2 linked regions of the Saccharomyces cerevisiae S288C genome follow. The protein of the gene in region 1 purifies or fractionates together with the protein of each later gene. This does not show direct contact. Each region holds a gene or a part of one and is shown on either strand. Other genes may lie near its edges. The genes, in order: ISA1 and IBA57.

The links.
Region 2: the proteins of ISA1 (region 1) and IBA57 purify together in Saccharomyces cerevisiae (affinity purification with western blotting; one study listed by BioGRID). This does not show direct contact.

Annotation. Positions count from the first base shown.
Region 1 is NC_001144.5:85,506-88,667, forward strand, and holds ISA1 (Fe-binding Fe/S cluster assembly protein ISA1), read left to right. Parts: upstream 1-1,897; coding exon 1,898-2,650; downstream 2,651-3,162. Other genes in the region: polyamine transporter TPO1, read left to right, coding at 1-1,059; chaperone ATPase HSP104, read left to right, coding at 3,118-3,162. UniProt on the Saccharomyces cerevisiae protein: Involved in the assembly of mitochondrial and cytoplasmic iron-sulfur proteins. Probably involved in the binding of an intermediate of Fe/S cluster assembly.
Region 2 is NC_001142.9:648,036-652,100, forward strand, and holds IBA57 (Iba57p), read left to right. Parts: upstream 1-1,740; coding exon 1,741-3,234; downstream 3,235-4,065. Other genes in the region: ATP2 (F1F0 ATP synthase subunit beta), read left to right, coding at 1-1,107; 40S ribosomal protein uS7 RPS5, read left to right, coding at 3,866-4,065. UniProt on the Saccharomyces cerevisiae protein: Required for lysine and glutamate prototrophy and mitochondrial genome maintenance. Has a role in the maturation of mitochondrial aconitase-type and radical-SAM Fe/S proteins biotin synthase and lipoic acid synthase.

The sequences.
Region 1 (3,162 bases):
CTGCAAACTATTTTCATATGTAGATTCTTTGGTGGTTTTATCGGGGCAGCACCCATGGCCGTCGTCCCCGCCGCGTTTGCCGACATGTTTGATACTAATGTTAGAGGTAAAGCCATTGCGCTATTTTCTCTAGGTGTTTTTGTAGGCCCCATTTTATCGCCTGTCATGGGTTCTTATATCGCACAAAGAACTACCTGGAGATGGTTAGAATATGTTGTCGGTTGTTTCGCTTCCGCAGTTTTCGTTGCCATCGTATTGTTCTTTGAAGAAACACATCACCCTACCATTTTGGTTAACAAGGCCAAACAGATGAGAAAGCAAAGTAATAACTGGGGTATTCATGCTGCTCATGAAGACGTGGAGCTATCCATCAAAGACATTGTCCAAAAAACTGTGACGAGGCCTATCATTATGCTTTTCGTGGAACCATTGCTACTATTCGTGACTATTTACAACTCTTTTGTCTACGGTATCTTGTATTTGTTACTGGAAGCCTACCCACTTGTCTTTGTGGAGGGTTATGGGTTTACTGAAAACGGTGAGTTGCCATACATCGCCTTGATTATCGGTATGATGGTGTGTGCTGCTTTCATTTGGTATATGGACAACGATTATTTGAAAAGATGTAGAGCCAAGGGGAAATTAGTGCCCGAGGCCAGATTGTACGCAATGGTCATTGCAGGTACCGTTTTCCCTATTGGTATCTTATGGTTCTGTTGGACGGGCTACTATCCTCACAAGATTCATTGGATGGTCCCCACAGTAGGAGGGGCCTTCATCGGGTTCGGTTTAATGGGTATTTTCTTGCCATGTTTAAACTATATCATTGAATCGTATCTATTGTTGGCAGCTTCTGCCGTCGCAGCAAACACTTTCATGAGGTCTGCATTTGGTGCATGCTTCCCATTGTTTGCAGGATATATGTTCCGTGGCATGGGTATCGGTTGGGCTGGTTTGTTATTAGGTCTATTTGCCGCTGCGATGATTCCCGTGCCTTTACTATTCTTAAAATATGGTGAATCTATCAGAAAGAAATCCAAGTATGCTTACGCCGCTTAAGAAAAAGAAAAGCAGAAATCATGCTCTTTCTATATTTGCATTTTTTTATTTCATTGTTATTACTCACCCTGCCCCACGCTCAAAGGGCTCGATAACGACATAGCATTATAGACACTGTGCAGCGTAAAGCTGACATATAAAGAAATTACAAAAAAAAATTAAAAAAAAAAAAAAAAACAATCAAAAAAGACACACAACTACAGAACAAAGGAAATCTTTTTCTATGCACAAGCACAAGAGTACTTAGAGAGTAGTGATATCCCCTTTTTTTTCTACTATTTTTTTTTTTCCCATTTTTTTCCTCCAAGACTCCTCTTATGTGGTTGTTATGTATAGCCCATAGTTACTAAATAAAACACTAATTAATGATTAATAATCCCTCTCTAATAAGAAATAGATAAAAGCTATTGTTCTTCTCATCGCCGGTTCTCGGCGTTGTCCGTACCCTTGGCCGAAACTCGGGCGGGGGCTTATTAGTCATACCCTCAGATTTCATTGGTCAGATAACAGTCACCCGGTAAATGCCCGTTTAATGACTTCTTTATTTTGGATTAAAATTGACAGGGAATTTCAACGGAATAAAGGAAAGAGATTGAGATGCTTTTAATTCATAAAGGAAAGGGAAAGAGGACAGGAAAGCAAGGAAGAGTAATGGAATTTTGCAAATATTTGTAAATCCTTTAGAATTACTAAGAAACTGTTATTTATTGACATTATTTTACTCGTCTTATTTATTTATTTATACATTTGGCCACCATTTTTGCACTCGTACGAAAGACCATTTTAGATTTTTTTGATTTGGTAGTATAACAAACGATCGGAACAATAACGTAACATAATGATAAACACAGGAAGAAGCAGGAATTCAGTACTGCTGGCACACAGATTCCTTTCAACTGGAGGATTTTGGCGAGGCGGTACGAATGGCACAATGTCTCGCACAATCAACAACGTAAATCCTTTCAAATTAAAATTCATACCGAAGACAGTGCCCGCAGCTGCAGACTCTGTCTCTCCAGATAGTCAACGTCCAGGTAAGAAGCCCTTCAAATTCATAGTTTCCAATCAGAGCAAGAGTAGCAAGGCTTCTAAAAGCCCGAAGTGGTCGAGCTACGCATTCCCTTCGCGTGAGACCATCAAATCTCATGAGGAGGCCATCAAGAAGCAGAATAAAGCTATAGACGAGCAAATAGCTGCTGCAGTATCCAAGAATGACTGCTCTTGCACAGAACCTCCCAAGAAAAGAAAGAGGAAATTGAGACCAAGAAAGGCGCTGATCACCCTGAGTCCGAAGGCAATCAAGCATTTAAGGGCACTGCTAGCTCAGCCGGAACCTAAATTGATTAGAGTTAGCGCTAGAAACCGTGGATGTTCAGGACTAACGTACGATCTACAATATATCACCGAGCCGGGGAAATTCGATGAGGTAGTAGAACAAGATGGCGTTAAAATTGTCATCGATTCAAAGGCGTTATTCAGCATCATTGGAAGTGAAATGGACTGGATCGACGACAAGTTGGCCTCTAAGTTTGTCTTCAAGAATCCAAACTCCAAGGGCACATGCGGTTGTGGCGAGAGTTTCATGGTTTAAAAACCTTCTGCACCATTTTTAGAAAAAAAGAATCTACCTATTCACTTATTTATTCATTTACTTATTTATTTACATATTTATCATACATATTAACATTGAACCCTCCATCGTGGTAGTGTTTGCTGTTCCTAACTTTTCTTTCGTTGTTCTTGTAGATATATATTTTTCCAGAATTTTCTAGAAGGGTTATTAATTACAATCTTAAACGTTCCATAAGGGGCCGCGATTTTTTTGTTCAATTTTCAACAGGGGGCCCATCTCAAAGAACTGCAAATTATATCACAGTAAAAGGCAAAGGGGCGCAAACTTATGCAACCTGCCAGATTATTATATAAGGCATTGTAATCTTGCCTCAATTCCTTCATAATTCGTTCCTTTGTCACTTGTTCCTTTTTACCCTTGAATCGAATCAGCAATAACAAAGAAAAAAGAAATCAACTACACGTACCATAAAATATACAGAATATATGAACGACCAAACGCAATTTACAGAAAGGGCTCTAACGATTTTG
Region 2 (4,065 bases), on another chromosome or scaffold:
TCCAAACTAAGAAAGCCAATTCACGCAGACCCTCCTAGTTTTGCAGAACAATCTACTTCGGCTGAAATTTTGGAAACAGGTATCAAAGTCGTCGATCTATTAGCTCCTTATGCCAGAGGTGGTAAGATTGGTCTTTTCGGTGGTGCAGGTGTCGGTAAGACTGTGTTCATTCAAGAATTGATTAACAATATCGCCAAGGCCCATGGTGGTTTTTCCGTTTTCACCGGTGTTGGTGAAAGAACAAGAGAAGGTAATGACTTGTACCGTGAAATGAAGGAAACTGGTGTCATTAACTTGGAAGGTGAATCCAAGGTCGCCTTAGTGTTCGGTCAAATGAACGAACCTCCAGGAGCCAGAGCCAGAGTCGCTTTAACTGGTTTGACGATCGCTGAATATTTCAGAGATGAAGAAGGTCAAGATGTCTTGTTGTTTATCGACAATATCTTTAGATTTACTCAAGCTGGTTCAGAAGTCTCTGCCCTTTTGGGTCGTATTCCATCTGCCGTCGGTTATCAACCAACTTTGGCCACTGATATGGGTCTCTTACAAGAAAGAATTACCACCACAAAGAAGGGTTCTGTCACTTCTGTGCAAGCCGTTTATGTTCCAGCCGATGATTTAACAGATCCTGCTCCTGCCACTACTTTTGCCCATTTGGACGCTACTACCGTCTTGTCAAGAGGTATTTCAGAATTAGGTATTTACCCTGCAGTGGATCCATTGGATTCTAAATCAAGGTTATTGGATGCCGCCGTTGTCGGTCAAGAACATTATGACGTCGCCTCCAAGGTTCAAGAAACTTTACAGACCTATAAATCTTTACAAGATATCATTGCTATTTTGGGTATGGATGAATTGTCCGAACAAGATAAACTAACTGTCGAAAGGGCAAGAAAGATTCAAAGATTCTTATCTCAACCATTTGCTGTCGCCGAAGTCTTTACTGGTATCCCAGGTAAATTAGTGAGATTAAAGGACACCGTTGCCTCGTTCAAAGCCGTTTTGGAAGGTAAATACGATAATATACCAGAACATGCTTTCTATATGGTTGGTGGTATTGAAGATGTTGTTGCTAAAGCTGAAAAGTTAGCCGCTGAAGCCAACTAGAAGAAATAAAGCTTAAACCAAGGGAAGCAAAATTTGAAATACCGAAGGTAGAACAATAAGGATGATGGGAAAAAAAAGATAATTTTTTTTTTTTGTTTTTCCCTGCTTCCTTCTTGTTTATTGGTATTATTATGTTACGATATTCATTCATTATCCTATTGATATTTTCTTTATATTCACTAAAAAAAAATTTATTCTATAAGACTGACTATAATTTTTTTTACTCCCAACTGTAAGTAAATAAAGACTCACCTACGCATACATTTTTTATATATACTATAAGATGTAGGATCTTAAAGAAAAATAAAGAGAAAAAGAGAAGCACACAACCTGCGATAAGTTGTAAGTTTGCCTCAACAGCTATTCTACTCACTTTTTGTATCTTCGGTTAGTATTATTGGGAAGTCATGTTCATCGTACTCACTTTCGCACATGCGATTACGTGTATTACCCTGATTTTCTTTCTGTATTAGCGTATGGCTGACTAATATTCACTTGGGGTCAACATAACTTACTTTCACATATCATGGTAGCTGTTTTAATTACCATTCTATTAGATGCGCTGTATTCCAAATTACCGTTCTCTCATTGAGCTTCTTCCTTAAAGGTTCTTGCCTCGCTTTCCCACTGGACATGTTCATCAGTAGAAGATGCAGAATTAAAGGCTTTACCCTTAAGAATTTGCTGTGGTTCAGGTCATCATCAACTCGATTTGTTTCAACTGAATCACCAGATGCGAGCGCAATTACGAAACCAGATGGTATTTTCAATTATTCTCTGTTGGAAAACAGAACATACATCAGGATACGAGGACCCGACACAGTGAAATTTCTAAACGGATTAGTTACCTCGAAACTATTACCTCATTTTATTAAGAAAAATCTAACCACTGTAGAAGAGAATGAAGTGCCTACTGAAGAAGGAACGACGAAGGTTGATCCAATTATTCCTGTGCCAGAATTTGATGCACGACTGGGAAATTGGGGACTGTATAACGAAAAAGGTATTCAAGGGCCATATATTTCAAGGTTTGGTTTGTACTCTGCATTTTTAAACGGTAAGGGGAAGTTAATAACAGATACAATTATTTACCCCACTCCTGTGACCGTAAGCGAACAAATTTCAAATTATCCTGAGTATCTGTTAGAGCTTCACGGGAATGTAGTGGACAAAATTTTGCACGTTTTACAAACTCACAAGTTGGCCAATAAGATTAAATTCGAAAAAATTGATCATTCCTCCTTGAAAACCTGGGATGTTGAGGTTCAATTCCCTAATTTGCCCAAAGATATTGAAAACCCGTGGTTTGATAATCTACTGGATCCTATGGCTCTACCAAAAAATTCCATAGATGCTAATAATTTTGCTGTTAATGTTTTAAATTCTTTGTTTAACTCAGATCCTAGAATATTGGGTATTTACGTAGAAAGAAGAACTGAGTCAATGTCAAGGCATTACTCCACATTTCCACAATCCTTCAGAGTTGTCACTTCCGAGCAAGTGGATGATCTCTCTAAGCTATTTAACTTTAACGTTTTCGACTTCCCTTTTCAAGTAAATAAAAAAGCTTCCGTTCAAGTTAGAGAAATCAGATTTCAAAAAGGTCTTATAGATAGCACTGAGGATTACATATCTGAGACTTTGCTACCTTTGGAACTAAACTTTGATTTTTTTCCAAACACTATAAGCACAAACAAAGGATGTTATGTAGGACAAGAGCTGACAGCCAGGACATATGCTACAGGCATTCTACGGAAACGTTTGGTCCCAGTTAAGCTGGATAATTATCAACTTTTAGATACAGACCCAGAAAGAAAGTACGCAGAATTCCATATCGACAACGTTGTAGAAAAGAGCCTTGCAGAGAACGAGCCAACCCTCAATCCATTTACCAATAAACCGCCCGAACGAACCAAGAGAAAGCAAAGGCCGGCAGGCTTATTGATTTCTAATGAAGGGCTGTATGGCGTAGCTTTACTTAGAACAGAGCATTTCTCTGCTGCCTTCTCATCTGATGAGCCAGTCGAATTTTACATTACTACAACGAAGGGTGAAAATATTAAAATAACACCTCAAAAACCATTCTGGTTTAGCGACTGGAAAAACAATAACGGGCCTCATAAATAGATTTCACGAAAACACCTTGTAAATACTACTTGTGAATATGCAAATAGGAAATAGATATATGCATACAAATAAGAAACAATGAACAGCCTTGAGTTCTCAAATTTGCATATCATTTGTTACGTAATTCCTTATCAAGACCTTTTATACAACAACACCCATATACCCATAATTATTCTTAACCCATACATATTTGTCTCAAGTTTATTTTTCAGATGAGAATGGCCCTGCATCAGTTTTTTTCCAGAAACTAATTCATGGTAACAAACATTTCGCGCCCTGCTACGGGGAAGGAGAATTCTTTTTCTCCCGCCCAGAACGTAAAGCCTTGTTTCTTTCTACCGTACTGGGCCCGTCTAATTCTGCCCCTTTGCTGGGAAATCTCCTTTGCAAGCTCCCCTACCTTCGCCGCAGGCTTAGTGGAGGTCTCACTGAACCCTTCCACCTTGGGCCAACTTCTACGCTCACGTTAGTAGGTAATGGATTATCCACAATGTGCCCATTAGTTCTAAAATATTTTGTACTTTTTATCAATACTTAAAATTTCATTTTGAATTAAAATTACTTTTTATTTTAATTACACTCCTTTCATAATACCAAGAAAAGAGACTAGAAATAACCGACCATTCCAAAGATGTCTGACACCGAAGCTCCAGTTGAAGTTCAAGAAGATTTCGAAGTTGTTGAAGAATTCACCCCAGTCGTCTTGGCTACTCCAATTCCAGAAGAAGTCCAACAAGCTCAAACCGAGATTAAGTTGTTCAACAAATGGTCTTTTGAAGAAGTTGAAGTTAAGGATGCTTCTTTGGTTGACTACGTTCAAGTTAGACAACC